3 linked regions of the Diceros bicornis minor genome follow. The protein of the gene in region 2 purifies or fractionates together with the protein of the main gene of each other region. This does not show direct contact. Links are inferred from orthologs where the notes say so. Each region holds a gene or a part of one and is shown on either strand. Other genes may lie near its edges.

The links. Proteins that work in one complex are often made in the same cells at the same time.
Region 1: the proteins of GSK3A (region 2) and PRUNE1 purify together in Homo sapiens (affinity purification with mass spectrometry; 3 studies listed by BioGRID and IntAct, with this or other methods). This does not show direct contact. The link is inferred for Diceros bicornis minor from reciprocal best matches to the Homo sapiens genes GSK3A and PRUNE1.
Region 3: the proteins of GSK3A (region 2) and AXIN2 purify together in Homo sapiens (affinity purification with mass spectrometry; 3 studies listed by BioGRID and IntAct, with this or other methods). This does not show direct contact. The link is inferred for Diceros bicornis minor from reciprocal best matches to the Homo sapiens genes GSK3A and AXIN2.

Annotation. Positions count from the first base shown.
Region 1 is NC_080743.1:55,339,769-55,349,465, reverse strand, and holds the start of PRUNE1 (exopolyphosphatase PRUNE1), read right to left. Parts: upstream 4,786-9,697; 5' UTR 4,686-4,785; coding exon of another isoform or gene 4,647-4,685; intron 4,641-4,646; exon of another isoform or gene 4,563-4,640; intron 1-4,562. Other genes in the region: MINDY1 (ubiquitin carboxyl-terminal hydrolase MINDY-1), read left to right, coding at 9,506-9,697. UniProt on the Homo sapiens protein: Phosphodiesterase (PDE) that has higher activity toward cAMP than cGMP, as substrate. Plays a role in cell proliferation, migration and differentiation, and acts as a negative regulator of NME1. Plays a role in the regulation of neurogenesis.
Region 2 is NC_080773.1:17,020,530-17,031,054, reverse strand, and holds the start of GSK3A (glycogen synthase kinase-3 alpha), read right to left. Parts: upstream 4,332-10,525; 5' UTR 4,247-4,331; coding exon 3,964-4,246; intron 2,237-3,963; coding exon 2,049-2,236; intron 643-2,048; coding exon 559-642; intron 393-558; coding exon 282-392; intron 1-281. Other genes in the region: ETS domain-containing transcription factor ERF, read right to left, coding at 9,613-10,525. UniProt on the Homo sapiens protein: Constitutively active protein kinase that acts as a negative regulator in the hormonal control of glucose homeostasis, Wnt signaling and regulation of transcription factors and microtubules, by phosphorylating and inactivating glycogen synthase (GYS1 or GYS2), CTNNB1/beta-catenin, APC and AXIN1.
Region 3 is NC_080757.1:49,432,754-49,442,848, forward strand, and holds the start of AXIN2 (axin-2), read left to right. Parts: upstream 1-5,310; 5' UTR 5,311-5,406; intron 5,407-5,794; exon of another isoform or gene 5,795-6,064; intron 6,065-6,309; exon of another isoform or gene 6,310-6,379; intron 6,380-6,564; exon of another isoform or gene 6,565-6,920; intron 6,921-7,356; exon of another isoform or gene 7,357-7,372; intron 7,373-8,133; 5' UTR 8,134-8,249; coding exon 8,250-9,064; intron 9,065-10,095. UniProt on the Homo sapiens protein: Inhibitor of the Wnt signaling pathway. Down-regulates beta-catenin. Probably facilitate the phosphorylation of beta-catenin and APC by GSK3B.

The DNA.
Region 1 (9,697 bases), on a different chromosome or scaffold from region 2:
ATAGTCAAAAATGTCTCCAGACTTGCCAAATATTCCCTAGTGGGCAAAACTGCACCGGTTGAGAAATAGTGGGTCACAGAAAGGTGAAAATCCAAATATAAAGGCTTCTTCAATCAGGGAAGATTCCAGTTTCCAAGGAATATAACTTTAGGAAAAAAGAGAACCTAGGGGAACCTAGAATCATCTTCCCTGTACTGGCTGTTACCTGACCCCCTGAAAGCCACAGCCAGTAAAGGACAATTTTAGAAGACTTCTGGTGGTATAAATTACCCTATCTAGTTACTAGATAGGTTTTTGTTTTTGAACCACCCTCTTCCCCATCTCTTACTCCCACTCCTAGAGAGAAGTACAAAAGGCAGAGGTTATCTGTCAAGGTTTTGGGCAAAGGGCCCATGGGGAAAGTTTGTCCTTAGGTTCTCCCCATGCCCATTTCTCTAAGTTTACTTCAAAGGTGTGGCAGCCAACACCCATCCACACTGAACAGCATGGGAAAGGGGAGATTCTTTTCAATATTAAATTCATTTCCAACACAATACGAGAATTCTGTACCCAAGACCCCAGTCCCACAGTAACTTCTCTGATTTACAATTCTTCTTCCTGATACCAGAGAAGGCCCCTCTGTTTCCTGGATACCAAGAACTGCCCAGATGGCTGTGGACCAAAGTGACAACAAAGCACTTGAGATAAGTGGCTGCACAGATAACTTGCTCACTGAAGCAGTAAAGGCGGGCACTATGTTGTCTAGAGAGGGAACTATATAAACATGACAGGCAATATGGCCCTGACTTTGGAGAAAAAAGGTAAGAGTAACAGAGAAAAGGCAGAGCAAGCGGGAGAGACCTGTTGCTGGGCACAAAGAGGCCCTCAGAGAACCTTTCTAAAACTCACATTAGTGCCACTTTGTTCCAAGTGGCAGCTGAATCAGGATCAGTCAGATCCCCAGCATTGAGAGAAGGCTAAGCAGAAAAGCAAAAGGCAGGGACCAAATACAACTTCATGGCTCTGAGGTCAGGAGAAATGACCTCCAGAGGAAGGTGAATAACTAACCCCTTGCACTCAGCCAAGCCCAGAAAGCAACCAAAAGGAACGAATACCAAAGGAATACTCGGACTTTTAGCAAATCTTGGAACAGGAGTGACCAAGGGAGGTGGTGGCATTCCTTTCCCACCATCATGCCAGCCTGACTGGTCTATTCACCACCCGCAAAACATGCTGTGCACATTTCCAGCTCTGCCCTTTGCACTATTTGTTCTTCTCTGTCTGAAAGCAGCAGAACTGCCATTTGGAAAGACCACAGCCTGGAGTTGAATCCCAGCTCTGCTTCTTACTTGTGGGACTTCTGCCTCTCTACGCCTCATTTTCGTGATATAAAAATGAGGATAATACTGTAACCAATTTCATGAAGTTGTTGTGAGGATCAAATGAGACAGCACATAAGTGCCTATTCTGTAGGAAGTAAAGATGAGCTCCCTTCCATCTTCTCCCTTCTCTCCCCCTCCCCGACCAGGCAAGCCCCACTTCAAGCCCCCTCTCTCTGTGAAGCCTTCCCTGACCACACAGGCCAGAGCAATCCTCTTCCTCTAAAACCTATAGCTTCCAGCACTTGTGGCTCTCATATGGAACTGAGCCTTAAGGAGCTCGCTGTCTTTTCATGGGCAAGTATCCCAGATCCTTAACATAGCTTATGAGTTAGGTGACAATATACTTTGTTGTTCAAACCGGGACATTTTTTTTTTTAATAATTTTATTTATTTATTTTTTTCCCCCAAAGCCCCAGTAGATAGTTGTATGTCATTGCTGCACATCCCTCTAGTTGCTGTATGTGGGACGCAGCCTCAGCATGGCCGGAGAAGCGGTGCGTCCGTGCGCGCCCGGGATCCGAACCCGGGCCGCCAGCAGCGGAGCGCGCGCACTTAACCGCTAAGCCACGGGGCCGGCCCAAACCGGGACATTTTTGAGAATGAAAAGAGGTGTGATGAATTATTATGCCGGAATAAACAAAGATTGCCCTGGGCAAACTGGGTGTATGGCTGCCCAACTTATAAGGCACCATTCTCCTCTTCATTTAGGAAAAACATGTGTAACTCTTAACCTCCCCCACCCCATCCCCCACCAGCTGAAAACACAAGCCAAATAGCCTCAGTTTTCTGACCATGAGAGGAAGGGTACAGGGCAAATATAACTGTACTTAGAGCATGAGGAAACCTGAGCTGCCAATGGAAGAAATACAATCTGAGAGCCACAAGTAAATATTAACTTTTTTTCCTTAAAAAAAAAAAAGAAAAAAACACTAGTTGAAATGACTATATCCTGATGTTCTTTGTGGCCTCAATGGGGGGAGAGAGGATGGGCTCTGGGCTGGCAAAGTAAACCACTTCCCTTCTGAAACTGAATATGGTCTGATGCCTACTCTACAAAATAGTTAATGAGGGAGAAATAAAAGGAGATGAGGAACCAGAGATAGAGAAAGCTTTGCAGCAGAGAAAATGGGACTGACTGACACTGATGCAAATTCCTAACGATAGCCAGCCACTCCTGATTCCACCTTATGCCTGAGAAGTGCAGACGACACAGATTATCCGAAGGCTTCTGGATGAACCACTAAACTTGCATGCAGCCCCACCCTGCAGCAAAGATTTTTCCATACTAGAAGTGAAAAATGAGTCACCATGAATAGGACATTTAGTTAAACAGGATTTCTTTTAAATGGAACATTCTACTATCATTGTGGCAGAGGCTGTAGAAAATTTCTCTGGTATCAAATGCTAAAAATATGGTATCAACAGGAGAGTTGGCTGGGTTATCAGCTGTCTCCATCTTGTGAAAAAGGCAAGCATTCACAATTCCCTAAAATTTATACTATAGTTTAACAGAAACATTCAAATTTAATAGTGTCTCTGTCTAAATCATGTCTTTCTTTATCTAAGAAACAACAGTGTGGCCTCTGGTGAACTGGATGGGGAGAAGAAAAAGGATCTTTTTCTTTTTCATTTCGCATCCTTTCTGTATTTAAAATTTTTCACTATGTACATTTACTACTTCTATAATTAAAAGCAACCTAAAAGTTGGCCTGTATGTCCTGCCACCAGTTCACCCACTAACATTCCTAGAGTCCAATTTTCTCATTTCTTCTGGCCCTTGCTAGGCTGTGTGATGATGAGAGGTCTAAGATACAACCTCACCGTCATAAGTTCACAAGTTTGGAAAAAAGAAGATCTAGATCTTGCTCCTTGGGGGAAGAATGCAGGTAGAGAAAGGTCAGGATACCAGCAATACTGGAAAAATCCAGTATTTTTCAGCTTCATACTGCTGGAGAAGATATACTGTTAACCCCGGGGGACTCTGGAGCATGCAATGAAATGCTATTTGGTGAGGTTTCAGGTCCAAGGGTTCTTTACCAAATGGTGGAAAAGAGAGTTATTTGGGTTACTGGGGAAAAAAAAAATCCAACTGCTTAGCACTTTGAACGGTGCCACAAAGACTCTACATTAGTCCTCCAATGAGCTCCCTGTGGTGAAATCAGAGGTAACCAAAATGAATTGGTTCCAAATTGCTTTATGCATTAATGCATTAAAACAACTTTCCACAAATTTGTATTTCACAAAGAAACATTTGGTGTAATTGTTGTTAAAATCGAACTTCACCCCCATTCTTGAGGTAAGGACATTCATTTACATCAGCAGCTGAGTCTGCAGGAGGAGTTAGGTGACTTTTAGGATTTGTAAAGACCCAAATCTATTGCCCAGGGGAATTTGTAGAGTTTAAGATACTTAAAAAGTTAAGGCACAATCAACCATCTGTCTAGGTTTCTATAGGAGCAGTGAAACTTGAGGCAGGGGGGCCAGGTGACCTGGTCAGCCTTTTGCTAACTGGGGATAGCAGCCTAATGCTGCATGACCAGTCAGCGTGGCTGGGCGATTCCAGCTGGCTCAGAGAGCACCCAAAATAAGCCACAAAGCATTCAGGAGTCATGCTTATAGTTTTGATTCCAAACACACCGTGCTTATCCCTTCCAGGTGGAGGATTTTCACGTTTCAGGCCAAGGAAGAAAGCTGGAGGCAAAGGAATCCAGGTTGTGGGTCAACAGATATGCCTGATGTATTGTGCATGTTTAGTTTAAAAACAGATTTAAAGTAAAACCATGACCACCTGTAAGGAGAATGAGTTAGGCCAGCCAGACAGAAACAGCCGTTCAGAAGCAATAAAGGCGTGGGCACAGGTTTCCTCGCACCCCTGGGGTTCACGTGGAGGCCTTGTGAGTGGAGAACTCAAAGAGGGGCGGGGAGAAAGGAATAAATACACCTCCCGGGGCAGGACTGGCGGCGGCACAGTCGCCTTTTGACGGAACTAACTCAGGCGACAGCGAGCAGAGGCTCAGATGCAGGACTCAGACCCACGATTCCTCCTGCCCGCTCTCGGGCAGACCGCAACGGCAGGGGGCCAAAAACCGGGAGACTGAGCAGCATTCCCACTCTCAAGAGCCAGGTTTTCCTTCCTCACTACTCAGGCCTGCTCAGATCCCAAGCCCCCTCCTCACAATTCCGTGTTCCCTCCACACAGACCCTCGGGGCTCCCCAGATCCCGCATCTTCGTCCTTCCTGGACCCCATGCTCCAATCCTTACGATCACAGACAGGCATCCGTTACCTGCAGAGCAGCTCGACAACCCTGCAGGTAGGCCTCCATGGTGAAGCCCAAGGTGTGCCGCCGCCCCTCGCCGTGGAGAGGTTACTCGGCGAATGCGCCCCGCCCCGTTCTCCGGGGCTTGAGGCGAGAGTCAGAAGGCGGGACTCGAACCTGCCACACAGCGATTCGGCCCTGACCCCCGGAGGAAGTGCGTAATCGGGCGCTCCCGGAGTGCGACGTCGCCCCGCCCCCAGCAGCGGAGGCGGAGTGCTGCGCCCGGAGACTCACGGGAGGCCTTTTCCGAAGCGCGAAGAGGGGCGTGGCGGAGGGCGTCCTGGGAAACGTAGTCCAGAAGCTCCGAAATGTCACCAAGAATTGAGGGAAGGAGAATTTTCTGAGATCATTCATTTGACACACAAATGTATCTGTCACAGTAACCTATCTTTGTGGCATCAGAACTTTTCCTCTCGGGTCAGGCTGAGTATAGCATCTTTCCATATATTACACGGAGCATCTAGTTGACATCTTAAATTACACGTGGCAAAAAAGCTCTTCGTCTTCCTTTCTCGAATTCTCCTCTCTACCAAACTGACTCATTGCCACCAATTTTGTGATTGTCCATATTATTAAAACATTAGAATAATCTCTTACCCCTTTTTTTTTACTTAATACCTACAGTCTCTTGCCAACTCCTGCTGCTTTTTCTTTTATAACTCTGTAGCCTGTTTTTTCTGTAGCCTCAGCAAATGTCTCCTCATTGTTTGCCTGGACTGTTGTAACCTGGGTTCTTTGCTCCCTGCCTCGGTAACTGTTCCAACTGCCCTCTCAGCCTTCAGAGTTGCTTGAAGTTTCGTCCTGCGGCAGGCAGCCTTGTAAGTAGAGTTTGGAGGGCCCTTCAGAATGTAGAGTTGGGTTCCAACCTCCTTTAACTGCCACCCTCCAGCCCCACAGTATGCAGAGGACTGCAAATACATGTACTCTCATCGTCAAATGTTCCCTGATTTATTACTCCATCCTTTTATTTCCTACCACCAGCCTGACACCAGCTTTTCCTTCTCCCCAAGCTAGGAATTGAGAGGAGGTGACTGATGAGAAGCTGAGGCCGCTGCTGGAAACAAGGACCAGAGCACAGGGGTATTGGATCTCCTGCTTGCTCAGCTAGTTCTCTCCCTGCTGTGCTCTCTTCCTAGGGCCTGGGGCTTCTTCCACACCTTTTGCTCTACCAGGAGCACAGCCCAACTAGTTTCATTTCTAGACTAAGAAAATGATACAGTGAGGACTTGGAAAGGAGCAGTATTTTTTTTTTTTTTTGCATTAAATGGGTAAATATGCAAATATCACTCTCTTCGGCCCTGCTTCTCTGGATCCAGAGCAAAGGACTGCCATACCTAGGGAGAAAGCCCAGGTCCAGCAAGCTGCTGCTGTCCAGCCCTGCTCCTCCCCGATCAGCAAGGGCACTTGCTCTTCCCTATTCTCACCAGAGAGGCACAAGCGCTCCGTCCCTTCCAGCGGCAGGCAGGCGGAGGGAAGAGAAAGGGTCTGTTGTTTTTCTCTCCTTGTTTCTCTCTCCCTCACTGCTGATCACCAAGCTGCTGACCAGGTCAGAAAGCCCCGATGGAAATCCTCCAGTGCTGGGCAGGCCCCTCCTCCTCCAGGGAGCTTGTCCTTGACTAATTTTTCTTTGTCCCGATGGGAAAAAAAGAGAGAGAGAAAGAAGAAAAAAGAAAAACCACAAACTTCCTTTGAAAACCAGCTTTCAGTCAGGGCCTGGAGCGCAAACCCTACACTCAGCGACTTAGGAATCCGAAGACGCTCTGAGCCGCTCGGGTGCACCTGGACTGCGCCCCTGCCTCCCCGGTAGTGTCCCCGGTTGGGCGTGGGTGTGAGTCCGGAAGTGGCTACGACCCAGTCAGGACTGCCGCTTGTAAACCCATATAAACCTGTGAAAGCTCTGGCGTTGACAGCTGGAAGACAGCTGGGACTGTGGCGACGCCCCTCATTGTACCCACCTCCCCCATCGAATTGCCAGAGCTGAACTCTCCTTCTCAGTCCTGGAACAGCACCCACTTCTTTAAGGTAAAAACTTGTTTCAACCATTTCCTCACCTCCTCTCCTACCCCAGTTCTCTTTTTCCTCTCCATCTCTGGGGAGGTGACACTGACCGTCCTTCTGCCTTTGGTCTCTATGAGTCTGGTTTGTGAGAGGAGCTAAGGCAGAAGGAATATGTAAGAGGAATACTTTGTGGTCCCTTCATTTTTTCCTTTTAATGAAACCTTTCCCCTCTCACGAGCAAGTAGACAGGCACTGTGGTGGTGCCTGTGTGGTGGATTCCAAGGGGAAAATCTAAAGGATTAGCTGCATGAAGATTTGGGTCAGACTGAGGAGATTGGAGTGGAGCAGTAAGGGACTTGAGGGGAGAGGAAAGTTCTTGGGGAGGTGTCTTATTGAAGCTACATACCCATTTTATATCCTTCTTCCAACTTTCGGCTGTTTACTGCCACTGCCTAGGGAGGGGCCAGGGCTGTTTTAACTCCCTTGCCACCAGAGGATAATTCCAGCTGGAGAGAACACGTGGGACTTGGGAAGAGAAGAGGAAAAGAATGAAATCCTGGTTTGTTTAGTACCCTCTCCCTCATCCTTTCCTGCTCTGAATTACTCCATGCCCACCCCACCAGGAGTGCACTTTGCAGAGTGGAAATCCTCCATTACATTTCCTGCCCCTCCTCTTAAGACTTAGCCCACTTAGCTGTGCCCAGTTTCTCTGAGACCCAGCTCCCTCCAGTGTCCAGCTCCTGGTTTCTTTTGGCTCATCCCTCTAGTCAGCTAGCTGCCCAACCCCCCCTTAATTATTGATCATTTCTGGCACTGGACAGAAAAGGTAAGAAATGAGCTCTGCTTTTCTTTGTAAACTTTCCCAGGCTCTGGTTTCTGCTTCTGACGCTCATCCTAAGTGTCATTTGGGAGGGGAGGAAAAAGAGAGAGAGAGAGAAAAAAAAAAGTGTAAGGCCTGCAGGCAATTTTTGCTACTCTGATTCTAAATTAACAACATGTAAATGAGATGCAGCTAGAATGAATTATATTTGAATCAGGAGGATGATCAAATGATCAGTTTGGGTGACTAGGCTTATTTCAGTAACTTTCATGTACCTCAACTTCATCTCCCAGGCCTTTCCTGAGCCCTAAATTCCTGTCAGTTTATGAGAAGGAAGCATAGTCTCAGGTTAGGAGGAAACTAGAGAAGAGATTCCTAACAAGTTTAATTTCTCCCTTTCCTCACCCTGAGTAAGGGGGCGAGGGGAGCAAGGACGTTGAAGGGAGATGTTTTCCAGAGGGCAGGGTTTGTGGCTTTTTATCGTTTACTATCCACAGCATTTATTAAATGTCTACCTCTGCTGGACTTGATGGTTAGTGCTGATAGAGAACAGGTTGAACAGGTCCAGTGTTCACATCTAAACCGACCTAGATGGGAATAGACAGAAAGAACGTGAATGTAGAGGGAATATTTTTAACGTAGATCAATAATCAGCATTTTTTTGTGTGTGTGAGGAAGATCAGCCCTGAGCTAACATCCATGCTAATCCTCCTCTCTTTTTGCTGAGGAAGACTGGCTCTGAGCTAACATCTATTGCCAATCCTCCTTTTTTTTTCCTCAAAGCCCCAGTAGGTAGTTGTATGTCATAGTTGCACACCTTTCTAGTTGCTGTATGTGGGACACGGCCTCTGCATGGCCAGAGAAGCGGTGCGTGGGTGCGCGTCCGGATCCGAACCCGGGCCGCCAGTAGTGGAGCACGCGCACTCAACCGCTAAGCCACGGGGCCGGCCCAATAATCAGCATTTTTATATTCCATATAAATAGTGGGCAAGAGAGTATCTCTGGATTTAGGCAGTTTTTAGAGCAAAGAGGAACTGAGGAGAAGTTGCTATCTCAACTTCAGCTATCAGGAAAAGCTTACTGGAAGAATTTGTGGGGGGAGTGATTTTTCTGCCCCTAATCTGAGGTTACTTATCAGAACTAGTTTCTGATTCAAGTCCCCATGGCCTACATTTCCCTTCTCCAGCCTGCAGGAAACCCCTCCCAAGACCTATTTGCTGTGGTTTGGGATTGTGTAAAGTCATTTGAAGAGAAAGACTTCTTTCTCACCAGTGTTTCGTCTTTAGGGGCAGGATACTGACTCCGCCTTTCCACTCTTCACCCCAAGCACTATGTGGCGGTTAATCTTTTCTGCCTTGGGATGAGGCAGAGAGATGGTAGCCCTACGGATACAAGCAGCCTGCGTGTGCTCAGGATGTTCCCTGAACAGCCAAGGGGAGGGGTTTGGTGCAGGGCAGAGGAATCACCCCCGTCCTGGCCATGGTGTGTGGGGGTTACTGACATGATACCTATTACCAAGTGAGCTAAAGATCACCATATTAATAACCATTAGTGTAGTTTTAATGTTTCCATCTCCATCTCTTTCCCTTCTGTCTTTCTCCTTTTACTCTTCCTTTCTCTCTGTCTTTTCTCCATTCCTTGTCTTTATCTGTTTCAGGGAAGCTGACTCCACCCAATGTCTTCAATCTCACTGGAATCATCCCTCTCAAGCCTGAAAGCCCTGTATCCTCGTTGGTCGCATCTGGTCGCAGCAAGTTAGAGGTGAAAGAGCTCAGGCTGGGGCCCTTCTGTTTACCTAAGCTCTACTACCCAGGAGTGACTGTACATGAGACACTATCTAGCCTTCCACACTATGTTCCTTTTCTGAGACTTTTCTGGGTCAATTTTGCTTTCCAGCCCAATGATCTCCTTCTTATTGGATTAGTCTCTGTTTGGCATACCAAGCCTAGATTAGGCAAGTCCTGGAGGACAAAGTCCTTTGATGCGCATCAGTTGACCCCTTTTGACCATGGAACACCATCAACCCGAGCATCCAGCCTCTAATAAGGCCAAGACTGCAGAAGCAGTCATCCCTGAAAACCACGAGGTCCTGTCAGAACCCGATGAGCACCCTCAGGACAAGGATACCAGAGATGCTGATGGGGTGGCCAGAGAACAGGAGCCAGAAGACCAAGCCTCACTGCTGGCCCAGGGCCAGGAT
Region 2 (10,525 bases):
CAACACTACTAGTGCCACTGGGCTCCCAGTGGAATCGAGCAGGCACCTTGTAGCCTCCCTAGCCCCCGGTCAGCCCATCTTCCCGATTCAGTCAGGCTTCCGGTTGGGCTACCCTGCATTTGGCAAGCTCCATCTCCGGGGGTATGGAGACAATGGCAGGGAACACAAGGCCTCCAGAAACCAACGTAAACCTGGAAGATGAGGGAACCCACAGAAGGCAAGAGGGTTGGGTGCCGCTGGCTTTGTGGGCTTGGGCCCCAGCAGCCTGCCTGCCTGCCCACCTTGACATAGATGATAGGGATGGTCAACTTGGCCTTGGTGAAGTGGCGAGCCACCCGGTACACCGTCTCGGGCACGTATTCCAGCACCAGATTTAGGTAAAGCTCATCTTTCTGCAGAGAGCAAAGAAGAGGTGTGAGGCACTGTGAGAAAAAGGTGAGAAATGGGGGAGGGAAGGTTTGTGGGGAATAATGAGGGGGAGGACAGGCAATCATGAGAAAGGCAGACAGGAAACAGGTGGAGTCAAGGTGGAGAACTCCCCTATACTGGAGGGCTCACCTTCTCCCCACTGGAGTAGAAAAAGTATCTCAGCCTCACGATATTGCAGTGGTCCAGCTTACGCATAATCTGCAGCTCTCGGTTCTTGGGGGCAAAGGGAGAGAGCCTCAGAAAACAACCAACTCTCTCTGCCTCCCCTCCCTAGCACCTCTCACCACAGCCCTACTCCCCCATTCCTGCCAACAGAGCCAGGCAGCTACTCCCTGGGTCCCAGCTCCAAGGCCCCTCTGGGGGAGCCCCTAATTCCTCACCCCCAACCCATTCCCCTCACACACAAGCTGGAGGTCTATAGGCTAAATCTTGACCACAGATGTGCTGTCTTCAGCCCACTTTTAAAAAATGTTTGATTTATTGCTAACATTTCAAAATCAAACGACATCAAGTATAAATCCAGTTTTCCAGCTTCTCTTGAAAAATCAGATAATGTGGCCACATGAGGCCCGCCTCCCCGCATGGCACAGCAACAACAGACAAGTAGTGGCCATCCAGTTCACCTTGGTCCCCACTCCTCCTTATTGCTTCCCCTGGAGGCATCTGAGCCCTTGAACCCTGGCTTGGATTCTGAGTCCCAGACTCCAGGCTTCCAATTCTCATCTTCCGAGAAGGGATCTAGCCTCAGCCTCTTCCCAGAAGGCCCGGTCTCAGCATTCTCCCCTATTCTCTGTTCCCCTCCGGGGCCTCAGAACTCCCCACCCTCAGATCCCTCTCACTTCTGGGACTCTACACAAATCAAATTCTGACTGACACCTGGAGCTCCTCCTGCCCCTGAGAGTACACACTGCCAAGACCCAGGCCCTGACCTGGTTCCCTCCCAGCCTAGGCTCAGTTCTCCTACATCCAGACTAACCTGGGCTCCAAAATGCCAGTCCTTCAAACACCAGTTATCCCTCAACTTCCACCTCCTCCATCTCCTAGTTCCCTGGGCCTCCACTAGCTCACAGGGCACCCCTTCCTGAGGGGGACAGAGCCCCACACCAAGGCACATGGTTTGGTGAGCGCTGACAGGCTCACCTTGCACTTGCCAAGTCCCTGGGGCAGAGCTCAGCCTTGCAAACATACTCATCAACCCCACCAGCTTCCTTTCTCCTCTTGGCAGAAGTGTAGCTTAGTGGTTAAGATGGAGGGCTTGGGAATTAGAGGGCAGATTCTAGTCTTGACCTCGGGCAATTCTCTTATCTGAGTCTCAGTTTCCAGTTTCTGCTTACTTAGAATGGAAATAACAACAGTACCTGCCCTCAAAGAATCTTTACATAAATTAAACAAGAACTGCCTACAAAGCACTTACACAGAGCAAAAGAACCAACACTGTCAACTCTGGGCTCTCCTGGAACCCACATCCCATCTTCCACACAACTCACTCTCTGCTTTCTCCATTCCCCTCTGGCCCATGCTCAGATCCCCCAGGGAACCCCAAGTCCAGCACTCTCACTGGGGCTCTCTCACCAGTCAGGCCCAGTCAAACCTCCTTGTCCCCATTCCCTGCAAGCTACCTTGAACCTCTTGTCCTGGAGAACCTTCTTGATAGCCACCAGTTCCCTGGTCTCTGCCAGCCGTGCCTGGTACACGACCCCAAATGAGCCATTGCCAATCACTTTGATGTCTGTGTAAGCCACCTCCTGGGACCGCTCTGGGCCTTGGCCTAGAGTGGCTACCACTGTGGTCACCTTCCCGCTGTCACCTGGGGAACAACAAAGGGGACACACAATCCATTGACTTTTCCCCTCTGGCCACCACCCCATCGTGGGGCTGTGAGAGGAAGGGGAATCTCTACTGGGGGCCTCTTTGTCCCTTCCTTGCTTTTGAGGACCAGTGCCCTTTCCCCTCTTCCCTTCAGGGGAATCCTGCCTCCTCCCATATGGGAGAATACTGACACCTAAATCTCTTGCCGTTCAAGGATTGGTAACCCCTAATTTCCACTTTTAGTAAGCAGTAAACCACTGGTCCCTCTTGGTTTGAGGAGATACTGACTCTCCCAGATGTTGAATCCATCTACTCAGCTCACTGCCCTCTGGCCCCTCCTGACTGGGGAAAGCCTGACCTAACCTCTTCCACTTGAGAGCGGAAACCCTGAGGTACTTCTACTTTGGGAAAGCACTAATGTTTCTCACAGCTCTGGGGATAGTGACCTCTAAGTCTTCCCCAGTGGGGCTGGTAACTTCACCACTGGTTTTTGGTGACAGAAATCAATGACTCCTCCTGCTATGAGTGCTAGTGCCCTGACTCACTTTTTGGGGTCAGTTAACCCTTACCCAAATACTTTGGGGTTAGAAAAGGCACTGACCTGACCTCCTCATCTGTGTGGTCCAGAGCCCCAGACCTCTTTTCCTGTATATGGGTGGTCCCTAATGGGCAAGCCAACTGTGAGAATGGTGAACCTGACCTCTATTATCAGGGAGCTAACTCAGCCTCAGTCCTTTGAAGGAAAGCTAGAATTCCCCATTCCATTTTCCAAATGGCAGTGAACTTTGGTGGCATTCTCAGGGGATGGTGACCCCTTTTCTTCAGCGAACTGATGAAAGGTTCCCCAAAGAAAAGGGGTCACTGATGAATCAAATCCATTTTGAGGGGCCAGTGACACCTTCTTTTGGAGGGAGATGATCCTACATAGCTATTTTTCCAGAGCCAATGATACCATACCTCAGAACAATGAAAGAGATATATAATCTCAGATTTATATTCTATGCAGAACTATGACCCTCCCCAACCCCCATTCCATTTTTGTGAAAGGAGACCCACCAAGTCATAGTTTTTTGAAGAACAATGACTATGAACTTGGTCTGAAGGGTATGCTGACTCCCAATCTGTCCTTATCTCTAAGAAGCAGCAACCATTAATTTCCACCAATGGGGATACAGTTGTACATATTATAGACGGGTAATGATACTAAAGCTTGTGTTTTAAAAGGGAAGACGAGCTGGGTAGCAAGTTTGGAAAGCCCTGGCCCTGCTCTTTGGGGACACAGTAACCCCAAATTCCCCTTCTCTAAAGGGAAGCAAATTCAGATCCCCCTTTTTGGGTGGTGGTGGTGGTGATCTTATTCTTGTTTTCTTTGGGAACAATAATCCTTCAGCCCTATTTGCAAGCGACGATGACCCCTGATCCTGTTCTCTAATGGATGGCAATGTCAGATCCCTGTTTTTACGGCTCAAGGACCCAAGACCTTGGTACTGGAAGAAGAGAAACCTGTAATCCCTATTTCTTTTAGAGTTAATAATTCTAATTCTAAACTCCAAGTGATGGTAATCCCCCAAATCCCTTTCTCCGGGAGGCGGAGAGCTCAACTCCCAGTTTTGGGAGGCACAGCGACCCAGAGCTCCTATCTTGGCATAAGGAAGAAGCTAATCGACGTTTGAGGGGCTTCAGGAACCCTAACCTCCACCCCTCACGGGCGCCGCTAGTACTCACGGCCCAGCTTCACTCCTGGCGGCGGGAAGCTGGTACCCGCGCCGGGGCCGCCGCTGCCTCCTCCGCCGCTGCCGCTGGGGCCACCTCCGGAGCTCGAGGCCCCCACGCCCCCACCCATGGCTCCGACTGACGTCTTCCCGCCGCCGCTGCCGCCCGGGCCGGAGGCCGAGCCTCCGGGGCCGCCACCGCCGCCGCCGCCTCCGCCGCCTGGCTCAGCGAACGAGCTGGTTCGCGCCCGGCCCGAGCCCCCAGGGCCGCCCCCCGAAGGCGCGCCGCCGCTCATGGCGCCGAGCGCAGGCCCAGGCCGCGGGGCTCGGGCTGCCCGGGCTGCCCCAGCCGCCGCTGCCGCCGCCGCCGCCGCCTCCCCCGGGCTCCGGCCTCTTCCAGGCCGCGCCGCTCGGGCTCCGGCTCCGGCCCAGCGCCCGCCGCGGGGCACGCCGGGAGATGCAGTCCGCCTGCCCTCCGCGCCGCGGTCGCCGCCCTCGGCGCGCACGGAGCGCCGCGAGGCACGCTGGGAAATGGAGTCCGCCAAGGCCTCAGAGTAAACCGCGGGGATGATGGGTCGCGCTGCACGTCGGGAAATAGAGTCCTGGGCAATAAGTCGGCCGATTGTGCCGATAGCGGACCCCGAAGCACTTTGGGAAGCAGAGTCAGAGTCGCACACTCACTCCATTGCGGCAACGACGAGCCCTTAGGTGTGCCTCAGAAACGTAGTCGGAGCCACACCATCAGTGAGCTATGTAGGTCTGATGCACGCCGGGAAACGGAGTCAGGTCGCTTACTTAGTCTATTGGCTATGTATGCTGACCGGCGCCATGACCGGCGCCAGGTGCTCTCTGGGAAATTGAGTCAGCGCCTGTAGACCCGCAGATATCGGGCTGTGAGGCAAGCCGGGAAATGGATTCGTCGCCACGCCCTCACCGCATTGCAGGTGTAAAGCGACTCCCAAAGCACGCCGGGAAATGGAGTCCCCTGTGATCCCTGAGCCCCCCCACTCCCACCCCCCACCCCCCACCCCCCACCCCCCAAGGGGATACTGCAGTTCCAGAGATAGGCTAGGAAATGGAGTAGGTACAGCGCTCCTCCTCCCTCGCACGCTAGGCCGCAGTCCCTGCTGGGAAATGTAGTCAACACCACGACTTCCGAGCCGTTGCTACGGAGAACCCTTCTGTCTTCTGGGAAATGGAGTTCAAGGCAGCCTCCCCTTTGACTGAAGGGGAGGGATCTACCATGAGCTTGAAACATGCTGGGGAACAGTCCAGACCGGATCCTGAGCCTTTGTGAGGCGAGACTGCAGAGGCTTGCCGGGAAGTGGAGTCCAATGGGAACCCTCGGGAGAGCGTGAGCGAAAGGTGAAAGACGGCAGTACCCTGGGGAGACTGAAGAGTGTTTCAAACACTTCTTCCCCGCCCCCAGGTCCCAAGGAAGAGCCGAAATCAGTCAGGGGCTGCTGGAAAATGAAGTCCAAACACTCCTTCCAGTTCCAAGTTTCCCCAAATCGGAAAGGAAAAACACCCCGCAAACGATTTGGGAAACAGTTTCCCGCGGTTTCTCAGAACACTATAGTCTTCGGATACAGTCTAGTTTTTTCTAGCAATGTGGGTTGTACCAGGAGGCTGAGCCAAGCGTTAAAAAAGATGAAAATACAATTTGTCTTGAACCCCCATTCAGTTTTTTGCGTTCTCTCTCTTCCTAGTTACAGGATCCTGGAGGGACCAAAACAAGGAAGCCGGCGGCTAGGAGTAGCCTCGGGTTTTGTGCACGCATTACGTCGCCCCATTTACCGATTAATATCCGGAAGGACAGTAGCCCCAAAGGACGCTGGGAAACAGAGTTCGTGTGTGTGTGTGTGTGTGTGTGTGTGTGTGTGTGTGTGTGTGTGTGTGTGTGTCCCGGAAGTACGTGGAACTGGAATAAAATCACCCTCAGCCCCTCCCGCCTCGCGGAATGATGGGAAATGGAGTCTCCAGACTTTAATCTCAACCTGTGTTCATACTGTCTGCTGTTTTTGTTGTTTATTCTGGTGAGGAAGATTAGCTCTGAGCTAACATCTGATGCCAATCCTCCTCTTTTTGCTGAGAAAGATTCCCCCTGGGCTAACATCTGTGCCCATATTCCTCTACTTTATATGGGACGCCGCCACAGCATGTTTTGACAAGCATTCCTGTGTGCCCGCCTGGGATCCGAACCTGCGAACGCCTGGCTGCTGAAGCGGAGCCGCCGCACTTAACCGCTATGCCACTGGGGCGGCGCCCTGTCTGGGCTTTCTGAAGCCTGAAGAAAGTCTCCACTCATTCTGTTCCTGACTGCAATTCCCAGCGGACGTAGACACGCGACAGAAGGCAGCGCTAAAACCTTTTCAGACTACATTAACCAGAAGGCAAAGCGCGGACACACTTCCGCTCCCTTCTCAATGAATGTGGCTGCATCACGCACAGCCCGGAGCGAGTCTTTCTGGGAATTGTAGTTTCTCAGCCAACCGGTGCCTGCTGCCCTCTGATGGCAGCTCGGAGTCGAAAAGCAAAAATCTGAGAGAAGCTCCAAAGCCTGGGGAATCGTACACCGGACCAAGAAGGCCCACAAGGGCAGGCAGCGCAGCGTTACTTAACTGGCCGTTACTTAACGGCCAGAACCCGTGGGACATGCGCAATGGGCCACGCGTGGGCAACCGCCGCGAAGGGATTGGGATCCGTGGGAGTCTGAGGGCGACCGTCTCAGGGGATCTTACCAGGATGTTTGTAGGGGCTGAGAACGTTTGTGGAGGAGTGCTAGGGTGGGTTCTAAGTGTCTCTGAGGGGCCTATGGGTATCTGAAGGTGCTCAGGGGAGTCCGTGGAGAGGTGAAGGGATCTTACTGGGGACCAGTAGAGAAGTCAGGGGACTTAGGGTGTCTTTAAAAGGTCTATGGGACACTCAGAAACTACTGGTGACTGAGGGGATCTCTGAGGGACCTGAAGGGGTGAGGGATGGTTGAGTAGCATCAGGAAGGAGGTTTGGGGGTGTGTGAGGGTGCTGGGGGTTATAGGTTTGAAGGGGGTCTCTGATGGGATGAATTAGTTGGTGAAGTCGTGTGAGATCTACGAAGGGCTTTCTACTTGGACTCAGAGATCCCGGAGGATGTGGAAGGGAGCAAGGGTGTGGTCTTACAGGAACTGTGAATAGATTTAAGTGCGTCATTAAAGATTAGAGGAGCCGCTGGTGTTTTCAAGACCAGATGGCACCAGTGACATCCCACTCAGCCAGAATTTGGGGCAGCAAGTCTGGGTGGGCTGTGGTCTGACCTGGAGAGCAGTTCTGGAGCTGAGCACTTTTTGAGTCCATATTAGACCTGGTTAGAGGTGCTTTGAAGGCACTGGCATCAGAGGCTGAGACTAGTCAGGGTCCTCCCCCTCCCCACAGTGATGACATCCCCCTTTCTCCATCACACCGCCACCAACTCAGCTGCATCTATGTTGCCAAGAAACATGCCTCATCCCAACTTCCAGAAATAGCCCAGTGGCCCCCACCCCAGGGAGTGCCTTACATCACCCAGGAGAGGGAGCAGTTGCCCACAGGCCGCCTCTGGAGCTTAGGTTTCCTGCCAGTACCCCAGCCCTGGATCCTCTCTTCACTGCCAACAGACATCATCTGGGACCACCCACCCTGGGCTGGCATGAAGTGAAGATGAATCGAGTGGATAAGAGTTGCCAGTTTCTTTCCCCTCAGAGTTGCACAGGGTGGGGTTTCATGTGCAGCCTGTTCAACAGGCCCTGAGCCCTCAATTCCCACTCTCTTAGCAGCTGTGTGACCTTGGGGCAACTCCTTCCCCTCTCTGGGCCTCAGGCTCCTCACCTGCACTGAAAGGGTTGAGCTGTCTGTAAGGGCACTTCATGCCTGGATTCCTCCTTCTGACTCTCTCATCCCTGACTCGAACTCTCCAACCTGGGCTTCTAGCTTTATGAGCTCACCACTCAGATCCTATGATCTTGAGACCCTGGTCTACATCCAACCATCCCGGCTTTTAGGGGTTGTTGAAAGAACACGGGCTTCAGAGACAGACCTCATTTAAGCCCATCCTGGCTGGGCTTAGGGCCTTGGGCAAGTCATTTCACTGAGGCACTTGCCCCTACCTTGCTGGATGTTGGAGATAAAGCACTGCAGCTCCTAACTAGGTACTAGGTACTTGGCTCACAGTAGCTCAATCAATAGCAACCAGGATTAAGCTAGGCCCTTCCCAACTTGCTGGCAGAGGGTGTTCCCATGGTTCCATAGGAAGACCTTGCAAAGTCTACATTTCAAGAGACAGTGCAGGCCTGTCGCCAAAGGAGTCCCAAATGAACTCAGAAGCGCCCTAAAAATGATGTGTGGCACGCTACTAGGGGTGGTCCAAAAGGAGTTTCAGGCCTTTAGCAGAGTCTGGGGTCCTGGGTAGGAACTCAGAGCGAGAGGAAAGGTATTGCAGGCAATCAGAAGAGCAAGGACAGTGGTGTGGTGGTGACGAGCCTAAAGTGCTTCCAAGGACGCGCAGATCCCCATGGAATAGGGGAGCAGTCAGAGAGGACGAGTGTGCCTGGGACCTTACTCATCAGGCCCATGGGGGCTAGGCTATGTGCCCCCGAGGTTGGGAGAGCATTTCCCAAGCCTGAATTTGCCTCATTCCGAGGCAGTTAGGCTGTCTGGCCATAGATCCACGGGGGGCCATTTGGGGCCCGTCCTTCAGAATCATGCGAAAGCTGTGGCCTTGTGGCAGCTGCACCCAGCACCCAGGACCCAGGACAGATCACTGCATCCAAAGGTCCAAAGTTTTATTGTTTTGAATACATTCTCCAGCAGCCCCCAACTTCCCTCCCCCCCACCCTCCATCCCTAATACAGAATAAGGCTTGACAACAGACCCCCACCCCAGGGGCCCCAGGTGGGAGGCAGAGGGGGCTTCCAGTTTGGTTTCAGGGCACCCCTTTCCCACCCCCCCTACCCCCCTGCCTATGGGCTAGTCCTAGGAGCAGCTGGGGGTGAAAGGGTTGGACTGGTGCTGGGGTGGGCAGCGGGAGAGGGACAGCAGGCACTTGTAGAGATTTGTGGCCTATGGGTGGCACCCCTCACCCTCTTCCGCCCCCCACCCCCCCATCCCCGACACGGAATTTTTGGTTCATCATAAAATGTCCCTCCCTCCTCTGCTGCAACCCTGTGGGGTATGAGAAACCCAGGCACTCGTGGCCCCTGGAGGGGCAGGGAAGGCAGAATGGGGGCTGAGGATAGCCATGGGTGGAGAGGGAGAGGTACAGGAGGCAGAGAACAGGGAGGGAAACAAGGCTTTACTTCCTAAGCGATTGTAATAAAAAAGTTCCTGGGCATTGAGGCCCGAGCCTCAGTTCAAATATAAATTCCCCAGAATGGAGGTGGCCCCCTTAACTCCCCCCTCCCTCCCCCCACCACCACTTTGCCCGGAGCTTAGAAACCCGAGAGACAGGGGACAGCTCCCAGCCCTAGGCACCCACCCACCCTCACCATTAAAAAAAAAAAATTAAAAGTTTTATACAAAATGTGGAGAGGGGAAAGGGAGGAGGCAGGAAAGAGACTAGAAAGCTGCCCTCACCTCCGGGGCATGGGGGGGTTAAGGCAGCAAAAGAAGCATGGGGGTTGGGGGAACAGGGGTCCCCTGCCCACAGCCCTCAGGAATCTCGATGCTCGAGAGAGAGCTGGGCTGTAGCGTGCTGGAGGTCGGAGCTCACCCGTCTCGGGGTGAGGGGTCCCCCGGCCTCCCCAGGCCCCTCCCCACGCACCTTCTTGTCCTCGCCCTCATCCTCAAGGCCCCCAGCGGGGCCCCCACCCCCCTCCAGGCGACAGTCTTCACTCCAGCGCCTTTTAAAGCGCAGCTTGAGGGGCATGCACTGGGCTGCCCCCGGTGCCTCGCCGGGCTCAGGCTTGGGGGGTGCAGGTGGGGCACGAGGCGTCTTGAACACCTCCCCGTCTTCCTCATCCTCATCACTGATGTCAGTCACCTCTACCTCCTCCGACTCGCCTTCCGAGATAGGCTCCACCTTGATCTGTGGCGGGGGTGGTGGTGGGGCCAGCGCCCCCGCCCCTTCAGGCAGCCCACCTGCGCTGCCACCACCGCCCATGCCAATGCCAGCACTCTTGTCAGCGCCTGCCGGAGCCTTCTCCCCAGCTGCCCGCTGCCGACGTCCCAGCGGGGGCGGCTGGAGCTTAAACTTGAATGGGGAGGAAGAGGAGGAAGAGGAGGACGAGGCCGAAGAGGGAACTGGTGGGGTCTCAGGTGCCATGGGTGGCAGTGGGCACTTGTCAGGGCGCTGGGGCTGGGGCACCACCAACCCAGGGTAGTGCAGGAAGGCGCGGGGGCTGAGGTGGTAGTTGTAGACACTTTGAGTGTGGGCCTGCAGGTACCGTTTCATGTCCTCAGGGCTGAAGGAGAAGTGGGAGCCTCCCCCAGAGCCGCTTGGGCCCCCGCCGCCACTGGGGTACATAGGGCTCAGCGTGGGCGAGGGAGTGTAGGCCAGGTGGGTGGGCGTCATGGGCAGAGCCGGTGAAAGCTGAGGGGGTAGCAGGGAGCCAGGCGCGGCTAGC
Region 3 (10,095 bases), on a different chromosome or scaffold from region 2:
TGTCCTGAAGAGCAGCAGGAGAGGGAGGTGGTCCTTGTTAGAAAGTCCTGTCAGATAAGTGAGAGGGGCTTGAGAAGGAGAGAGGGCTGCAGATAAGCCAGGCCACTAACAGGTCAAAATGGGCCCTCGTGACTTAACAATTAGGGTGTCTTTTACCTGGCTGAAGATGGTGTTTGAGGAGGAGCAGTTATCATGGGTTGAGGAGACAATGAGAGGGGAGGAAAGTGTAGACAGCAAGTGTAGACTCCTCTTGAAAGAAGTTTGCCAGCTATCTTCTACTACCTGAGTGCCCTGAAGCCAATGAGGCAAGGGACGAGGACATAGCTGCAGCATTGGCAGGTTACATAATAACGCACGTTGAGGACTTGATGTAGGGAAGGTTCTTCAACGGGGAGCAAAGGCCAGAATCTCTCCAGGTGTTCTGGGGCAGGCTGTGACCCTGCCAAGTATCCTGGCCCACTGTGCAAGTCTTTTAGAGCCCAGGAAACTACTCAGTCAGCTTCTGGAAACGCCCAGGGCAGATCAAGAAACACTGACGTGCGAGAGTAAAGGAACTGATTTCAAACTTGGTGAAACTTTAGTTTCCAGAAGTTGTTTTAAATGAGCAGGATGAAACATCAGGGGCAGAAAAACTGTCTGTGGAGAGAGCCTATTTATTAGCAAAGTTTCACATGTTGCCAGTTGGATGACTGACTTTAGGGATTCTTTTTTCTATCTATTTTTCACATCCTTTTCTGAAAACAACCTTTTATGTGTCTGTCTGCTTGACACTATGGAGAAGATAACTTTAAAAATCAGAACCTCTTTCTGGATGTGCTTTAATATTGATGGTCTCTTCTGGTTACAAGCTCAGTCCAGCTCCTAAAAGCCAAACTCCAAGACAATGATGAATGGTGAGATGCTGAACACCCAGCAGTTTGTAGCTCCATTTAAAATAAATATTAAAAGCACTTGAAAGTAAACCAGATTAGGAAGTTTTAAATTATTGTTTCACTTAACTGTGTTTTAAATTTAACATACCAAAGATGATAATTTTATTAACAAATATGTTTCCCTAACACTCCTATGAATAGGATTTCTCAGGAAAACCTTACTTTTTTGCTTGTGGCTTTGAAATCTCCACCTTCACAGTCTCAGGCCCCCCTCTGCAGAGGGCAGAAGTAGGGAGAGAGAGTGGCAGGAAGTTAAGTCCGCCTTTTCCTTCTCTCCTCCTCTCAGGCTCTGTTCAAGTCAATTCTCCCTCAGGTGGACCAACCCCACTGATGTGCCCATGGAAACGTCTGCCACCATAAAAGATTTGGTAGAACCACCCAGAATCCGGCTGAGAGTAGCCCTGTTCTGGGGGTCAAGTCTGTACATAAGTAGGGGCTGAATGAAGTTGAGCTTCAGGGGAATTTCAGGCTGAAGCCCTGTGGTGATTCTTTTAGGAAAGCATCCGAAATCACATTTATCAGCCCTGCGGGGAAGCCAGCCCTGCCCTGGGTGTCCTTACCACGGTATGGAAGAAAAGAGGGTGAGCCCGGAGTCAGGACCCCTAGGAGGTTCTAGCTCAGCTCTGACATGGGCAAAGTGGTCTTGGGAAAATCTCTTCACCTCCTCTTTCCTTAATTTTCTTCATTTCTTAAATGATGGGTTGGATTAGATGATACTTGAAGGGTGCCCTGGCTAGAAAATTCTGATATTTCTTTTGGGGGACTGGATAGGACTGCCTTTGAGAGATGGCAGAAAGGCACAGGCCACTTTGCTTTCCAATCCTTGCTCCTCTCTGCAGGGAAGTCGGCCGAGGTTGGCGGGGCGGGGAACGGACGGACTGGCTCACCTCTGCAGGGCCTCCTTGGTCCACTTCCAGGTCCCCACCCCCAGGCTCCTAATTGAAGGGGCATCTTTGCTTTGGAGTTGGGGAGTTTATTCCCAGAACAGGGAACAGATGTTGAGGGAACAGGGTGACTCTGCAGAAATAGCCACCATGTTTTGAGCACCTACTGTGTGTCAAGCATCGTGCTGGGCATTTACCTTATTGCTTATCCTCACAACAGCCTTTCGAGGGGTGTTTCCTCCACTCTGCAGGTGAACACACGGGGACTCAGAGTGGTTAAGTGACCTGCAGTCTCAGGAAAAGTTACCTGTGTCTGTCTCTACTTCCCTCCCTAAACAAAGGTACACTGTCCAAGGTGGTACTTTTTCAAAGAAATAAAAGACAAAGTCACTGAATCTTAGAGAGCAATGTCCTGAGTCTGAGCTCCTCTGCAGTCACAGCTGGTGTGACTTCCCCTCCAGAGGGATTTTGTGGGGCTGACTAAAGGTCGGAGATCTGGCCAGATGCCTCTCAGGGAGCCCTGAATCCTCATTTTCTGGGATTCTAGGATTTCAGCCTCATACATAATTCCAGAAAAGAATTACTCTCTGCTTTATTAAACTTGTCTGCACTTAGGCCAAGTGGGCTGTTTATCCTCTGTAGGGTTTTTCTTTAAAGGAGCGGGGAGAGTGAGCATGTGCAGAAATCCATCACCTTGCTTTCCAGTTTCCAGGCAACCGTGCGGGATTACAACCAGTCACATGATATCACTGCTGCCAGGGAGAAGGGGAAAATGGAAAACTGTGCTATCTTGAGAAAGCGTATAAGCAAAGGACTTTGGATTCTCCTCCAGAAATATTATCAACAAGTAGTCCAAGACCTAGAGGCTCTAGGGCCCCTGGCTTCTCAGCACTTGGCCCAGCTTTCTGTGGGATGGGAAATGTACCCCCAGATACGAAGTGGGGGGAGGGGAGTAGGGGTGAGATGAAGGGGAAGTCATTGGCCCAAGGTGAACTAGCACCTGTTCTGGAAACCAGGCTCTCAGAGGGGTTGTTACTGAGAGGATCCAAACCCAGCTAGGCTGTGCTCCTACATCCCCATCCCCAGTCCCTCCTTCCTGCTGCTGTGGCCCTGGGATAATGAGGGAGCAGGAGAGTCCTTTGCTTAAAGCGGAGCCCATGATGATTAGGGCCGGCTGGGGGGCAGTGAAGGGTCAGCTGGGATGGGGGGAAAACCACCCATGAAGACCAAGTTTCCACTTCCTTTTTTAAAGGCTCCTCTTTCTGATCATTGTTTATTTTGATTTGGGATGTTTTGATTTTTCTATCTCCCCTCCCCCACATTGTGTGTGTGTGTGTGTGTGTGTGTGTGTGTGTATATGTGTGTGCTTGCGCACGCACATACACACGCGCGCTGCTGTTGTTTATATTGTAGACGCTTCTATGGCAATTCATTCCCCTCTGTATACACTTTTGTTCCTGTAATAACACCCTCTGTGGCCTAAAGACTCCCCAGAACCACAGGGACAGCTTTGCTCCTGGCTCTCCTGGGGTCGCCGGAGGGGGTGGGCGTGCCCTTGGCCATGGATCCCACATACCAGCATTCCGGAAGGCAAGGCTGTTAGAGGAGCCGACCTGAAGTGGACTGGCTTCCAGTTTCCTCACACCCAGCAGTTGTCCCAAGGCAAAGATGAGTCATCCAGCCACACTCTTTCACTGGCCTTCCTAGCGTGCCCTGAGGTGGCTGTATTTCATAGCCTGGACTGCTGGCTTTATGCCAGCCTGGCCGCCTGGGGAGGTGAGCCCAGAGGGGCAGACCATGGACACAAAGAGGCAGGTATTGGGGAGGGCAATGCCACCCGCCTTGGCACCCAGGAGCTGAAAAGTCTGGCAGCCTGGGCTGCAAGGACTCTAGTCACTCGTCACAGCCCCGTAGGCTGGGGGCCATAGTGCAGGGTCCTTGCTGCCTGCCCTTTTCCTGCAGATCATGGGTGGTGTATCTTCCTCCTTTTTTTCTTATGGAATCCCAAACAGACAGATATGTTTCTTGCATGTTTCAAAGTTCTGACGCCCTCATGACAGGTTAGAGGCACCTCTGCCTTGAAGAGGGTTTGTCATCCTTTAAGCTCAACAAGAAAGTAAACAAAGGAAAAGGGAGTTGAGTTGGAGGGCCTCGCACAGCTCCAATAATGCTGGGCTCTCCCGTTCCCTTCTTGAACGAATCTGGCTTATACCTTTATGTTTTTTAAGAGGAGGAAAAGTTAATTATTAGCTTATCATATGAGGCATCATTTTATAGCAATAGATGAGTAAATAAATAATGTTGTAGGTTTATGGCATATTTTCTCGTTAAGTGAGAAGGTTATGCCTCATAACATTGTTGGGGGAATGTGGGGAGGAGTTTTCAATACATTAAAAATGAGGGTGAGGGGAAAAAAGACATTCCGTGTCTGTTTAATATGTAACATATGGGAGGATGGGGGATGCTTGCGAGAGAGTGTTGGGTATGCAGTTGTTAGAGAAAGATGGTCCATGTGTGCAAGGAGGGTTCTGACGGCCAGGTTGGGAAGTCGGGGTTAAATCTTCAGGGAATTGAGGGATGCTTCTTATTTTTTTTTATATTATTTATTTATTTATTTTATTCCCCCAAAGCCCCAGTAGATAGTTGTATGTCATAGCTGCACATCCTTCTAGTTGCTGTATGTGGGACACGGCCTCAGCATGGCCGGAGAAGCAGTGCGTAGGTGCCTGCCCAGGATTGGAACCCAGGCCGCCAGAAGCAGAGCTGCGCACTTCACCGCTAAGCCAGGGGCCCGCCTGAGGGATGCTTCTTAACGAGGTGTCAGAGCCCATCTCCAGCACTCAGGCCTGTGCTGGCAGATTCACACGCCCATCTTCACACTTCAACCACAGACAGTGGTTCTAACCCACACTCAGAGACACGCACGCACATGCCTTCTGCATCCAGGCCCGCGTTCACCCTATGACACTTGGTCAGTCGATCTCAGGACCAGAACTCCGTTTAAAAGATCCTCCAAGCCCAAATTCCCAGGGAAACTTGAAGAGAGGTAGAAAAGTGTTTGATGACAGAAAAAAAAAAAAAATTCTGCTTGCTTGCAGTTCTTGCGATGGCCAGAATGCTACAATAAACTGTTGCTTTCCAGAGCTGGGGAGGGCGAGGGCAGGCAGCGGGAGGAAGTCAGAGCAGAGACCGGAGAACCTGAAACACGGAATCAGAACTCAGGCTGAGAGAGCCTCTGGGGCCGCGGGGGCCAGGCAGGGGGCGGAGGAGGGCCGGGGAAGGGTTAACGCGGGAGCCGAGCGTGCGGCGGGGGCGGGCCGGGCGGGCCCGGGAGGGCGCGGGGCGCTGTCCCTTTAAGGCGGGCGGCGCGGGCCAGCCGAGCGTGGCTGTGATTGGCGCGGCGGGATCACTGGCTCCCCAAGCCCGGCCCGGGGGAGTCGGCTGGAGCCGGCAGCGCTTTGATAAGGTCCTGGCAACTCAGTAACAACCCGAGAGCCGGGGAATAAAAATAACCCCTCGTAGCAATGGATCTCGGGGCCGCCCGGCGTCCGAGGCGCCCGTCTCCCCCGCCGAAAGCCCTGCTGTAAAAGGTGGGGGTGGAGGCGCGGCCTCAGCAGAGCTGCTTCAAAGAGAGCCCCCCTTGGACCAGGGGCGAGGTCGCGCCGAGTCGCGTCGCGGGCGCCGGGGGCGAGAGGGGTCCGGCCCGGCCAAGACTGGGCCAGGAGGGGCGGTGCGAGCCGGAGGGCCCCGAGGAGGGGCCGCGGGGGCACGGGGGGCGGCCCGGGGCGCGGCTGGTGCGTACCTCCCTTTCAGGACCGTGCGCTCGGCTCGCGCCTTTGAAGTGCACAGTTAAATCCACAGCGCAGTTTTTGTTGGAAGCGCCCGGAGGACATTTGGTGCGCGGAGTGACTGCTGGAAACAGGACCTGTGTTGAAAGCCGGGCCGGGCGGGGGCCGGAGGGGCCGGGGGCGGCCGCGGCGGGGGTGGAGGCCCACTCGGATCTTTTGCATAAAAGGGGCGGCGGGGAGCGCCGTTTCCCCCTCCCTGGCCGGTGGATCTCGCTGTAATCCCGGGATTGTTGTTTCCCCGCACCCCCTCCCCTGCCGCGCGACTCCCCATGTTCCCCGACGCCGGGACCGGCCCAGGGGGGCCCGGGGCTGCCGCTGCGAGCCTATCCGGGGGCCGGGGCCAGGGCCCTGCCCGGGGCGCCTGCGAGGTCTCGCTGCGGAGCGCGCGCGCGGATCAATGGTGAGTGCCGAGGCCGCGGCGGCCGGGCGGCCCGCGCGCTTTGATGTGCCGGGCAGCCCTTTGAAGTTGGCAGGCCGGCTATTTCGGGGCGCGCTCCGGGAGGGCGCGGAGGGGAGCGGCGGGCCCGGCGCCCAGCGCTCCGGGGTGCTTGGCCGGGCAGCTCTGCGCGTCCGGCGCTCGAGCCCCCTCCTCTGGGGGTGGCGGGGGGCCCCGGCGGAGAGACTTCTGCAAGTGGCGGCTGCGGCGGGGGCGGAGAGGGGCCAGATCCCCCCCGGGGCGCGCATCGCTGTCGTTGTTATGGATGAGAGTCGGGGTGTGAGTGTGCGCGGGAGTGCTTTTGGAAGGTGGGATGAAAGGGTGGCGGCGCCCCCCGCTGGCCCTCCCCTCCGCCCCCTCCCCTCCACCCCATCCTCCCCTCCTGCCTCTCTCACCCCCCCTCCCCTCCCAGCTACTGGTGCGCGCTTAGGGGCCCCGAGCGCTGGCCGAGGCTCAGTCTGAGCGCAGGAGCGGCCCGAGCCCGGGGCGCCCGCGTCCCCCGCGTCCCTCCTCCCCGCCCGGGCCTCGCGCCCCCGGCCCCTTTTGCGGAGAGGCAGAGACTCCGCGCGTCGCCATTTCTGGACTAGGCTGCTGCTTTCCGTGCTTTTCTGTGGGCGCCTCTGCGAGCGGAGGCGCCGGGGACCGACCCGCGCCCGGGCTCGGGGTGCCGCGAGCGCCTCCCGGAGCTCCGGCCCCGCGCCTGGCGGCCCGCTCGCCGGGGCTCTGGACGCGTTCGGTTGGATTTGGGCCGGGGGGTGGGGCGGGCCGGGGGGGCGCGGCGGAGATGAGAGCCCGGCCTCGCGCCGCCTTCGTCTTCCAGGTAACGGGGCCGCCCCACCTCCCCTCCGCCCGGGTAACGCGGCGCTACCGGCGGCCCCGCCACTCCGCCTGCTGAGTTGCCCAGCCTAGCGCCCTGAGGCCCCAGGCGGGGACCGCGCGCACCCACCCCAGGCCCGGGGTCCCGGTCCCTCGTTCGGGGTCGCGCCCCATCCCCCCGGCCCGCCCCTGCCCTCCTTAGTTTGATCCTTCCCGTGCTGAGGAAAGCGGCTTGTTTATTGGTTAGATAAGACTTTTTGCTTTTGGAAAAAAGAGACAGGCTTGAGATCAGTAGAGTCTGGGATTCTTGGCACAGGCAGTGGTAGCGTGAGACGGTTTCTGATCCGGTTTTGTAGGGTTCGCGGCTCCGGGAGGTGGCGGGCGGGGGGACGGAGGCGGCGGGTCCTGAGGCTTCTCTGCTCTCTTGCAAAGTTGGAAGATCAAAGTCTCGTCTTAGTAAGTTGGTTTCTGGTTTGAGGGAGCGGGGAAGACAGAAGTGTAGACTGAGTCGGATTCTTGGTGGGAGGCGGGGGCGCAGCGAACGTGTACATCTGGGTTGGGGAGGGGGGGCGTTTTCCTGCTGGGAGTCCGCGAGCCCATTCAGCCCTGTGCTGGGCGGGCTTCTTTCTCGGTCGAGGATCTTCTGAATTTTGAAGGAGTGGGAAGGGGGGGGTGCAAAGGGAAGGGGTGGGGTGGGGGGAATGGGAACCAGATGCCGAGGAAGGGCACGTTTGGAGCTCGAGTTATCTGTGCGGAGAGCCGAGTAGGGAAATGTACCGAAATTGGTTTCACCTGCACACAGCCCAGCGGCTGGAGTGCGCGTCTTTGGAGTTGATGCTGTCGGGGGAAGGGAGAGGAGGGGTGTGGAGTGGGGAGGGGCGGGCGGGACTACCCTGCGTGCGCCGGGGCCGAGGGGGTTTTGGGGAGGTTATGTCTTACACCTCCCATGCCCATCCGTTCCCGCCTCCCACCCTCGGGGCTCCCCTCTCACCTTTCCCGCCCCCACCCCCGTGTGTGTAGGGAGCTCAGATTTCGCCTTTGAAAACGCGGCGTCTGATACTTTAGATGAGCACCTCGCAGATAGCTGGGTTGCTTGATTTGAATTTGAGGAGTTGAAAAGCCTGTTTACTTTCTTGCTTTGATGTTGGGTAGATCTGGTTTTGATTAGATCAATACCCTTTTCTCTCTTCCTACCTCCCCCTTCCTTTTCTTTGCAGAAAGGAGGCTCAGATGAGCCCCTGCTGACTTGAGAGAGAAAGAGAGACCACGCTGATTGCTGAGAGGAACTGGAAGAAGAAAAAAAATTCCCAAACTCAGTGAGAACTCCCTCACCATGAGTAGCGCTGTGTTGGTGACTCGCCTCCCAGACCCCAGCAGCAGCTTCCGCGAGGATGCGCCCCGACCCCCGGTTCCCGGGGAAGAAGGGGAGACCCCACCGTGCCAGGCCGGGGTGGGAAAGGGCCAGGTCCCCAAACCCATGCCTGTCTCCTCCAACGCCAGGCGGAACGAGGATGGGTTGGGGGAGCCCGAGGGACGGGCATCTCCAGATTCCCCTCTGACCAGGTGGACCAAGTCGCTGCACTCCTTGTTGGGCGATCAAGATGGTGCTTATCTCTTCCGGACTTTCCTGGAGAGGGAGAAATGTGTGGATACCCTAGACTTTTGGTTTGCCTGCAATGGATTCAGGCAGATGAACCTGAAGGATACCAAAACTTTACGAGTAGCCAAAGCAATCTACAAAAGGTACATCGAGAACAACAGCATTGTCTCCAAGCAGCTGAAACCTGCCACCAAGACCTACATAAGAGATGGCATCAAGAAGCAGCAGATCGATTCCATCATGTTTGACCAGGCACAGACCGAGATCCAGTTGGTGATGGAGGAAAATGCCTACCAGATGTTTTTGACTTCTGATATATACCTCGAATATGTGAGGAGTGGGGGAGAAAACACAGCTTACATGAGTAACGGGGGACTGGGGAGCCTAAAGGTCGTGTGTGGCTATCTCCCCACCTTGAATGAAGAAGAGGAGTGGACTTGTGCCGACTTCAAGTGCAAACTTGCACCCACTGTTGTTGGCTTGTCCAGCAAAACTCTGAGGGCTACAGCGAATGTGAGGTCCACAGAAACTGCTGAAAATGGATACAGGTAAGACTTGCCCGGGCAGGGGGTGGGCCTGGGGGTGGGGTGGGGGTGTTGGAGGATGATACGGACTTTGCAGATGTTTTGAGTTAAGGAGGGTGGATGGTTGGATGGATGTGCTGCTGAGGCTGACAAAGGACTCTTGAGAGCTAGGACCACTGGCCATGAACTCTTTGATCTTGCTTTTTGTTCTTTAAAGGGGGGGGAAGTGATGCACACGCAGCTAAATACCTGCAGTCTTCCAGTGCTCACTTCAAACAGTGGCAAGCAGTATTCATTAGTGCGGGTTACTTATTATCCTAGGCCAGTCTTAGAAGGGGTAGAGAGAGAGAGAGAGGGGACAGCAGCTTTTGATGCCTCTGAGTCACCAAATACACTAAGCACCAGTTTTGGAAGGGGTCATTCACCACTCATCAGTAGAGAGTGGAATTAATGTGGCTGGGGAGGCAGCTGGGTTGTGGTGGAGGCACAGGAAATAACGTGTGCACCCATTGGACGTGGGGGTAAGTGGGATCTTTTGAACTTATGTTAAGATAAGAGCCAGCAATTGGCTTAACAACTGAACTTGTGGGTCTCTTTGTAGAATTAGGTATTTACCCAGCAAGAAACTCACCTAACTAGGGAAGGCTTGGTGACTTTCCCTAAGGAAGGACCTCTAGCTTTAGTCTGCTGGTATATTAATCTAGGTTTGAAATGCTTGCAGTCTGAGGGTCAGATCTTGGTTGATTATTTTGTGGCTTAGCGCTAATGGAGAAGATGTCTTGGCCAGAAAGGACTGGGGCCCTGGAGTACTTTCTCTTTTTGAGGCTCAAAGACAAACAGTCCTTTACAGAATGGCCAAGTCTTAAGATTCTTGACCTTTGGAGGCAACTTCAGACCTTCTGTTAGAACGAGTTTTTTCTCTCTCTCTCTCCGTCTCCTTCCAAATCTCCAAAAAGAGAAGGAGCCTCTTAATTCTAGGTTGCTGTTTATGGCATGCAGGGGAAGGGAGAGTGGTGGGCTGTCTGAATGGCTTATCTTGCTATCCATTGTGTATT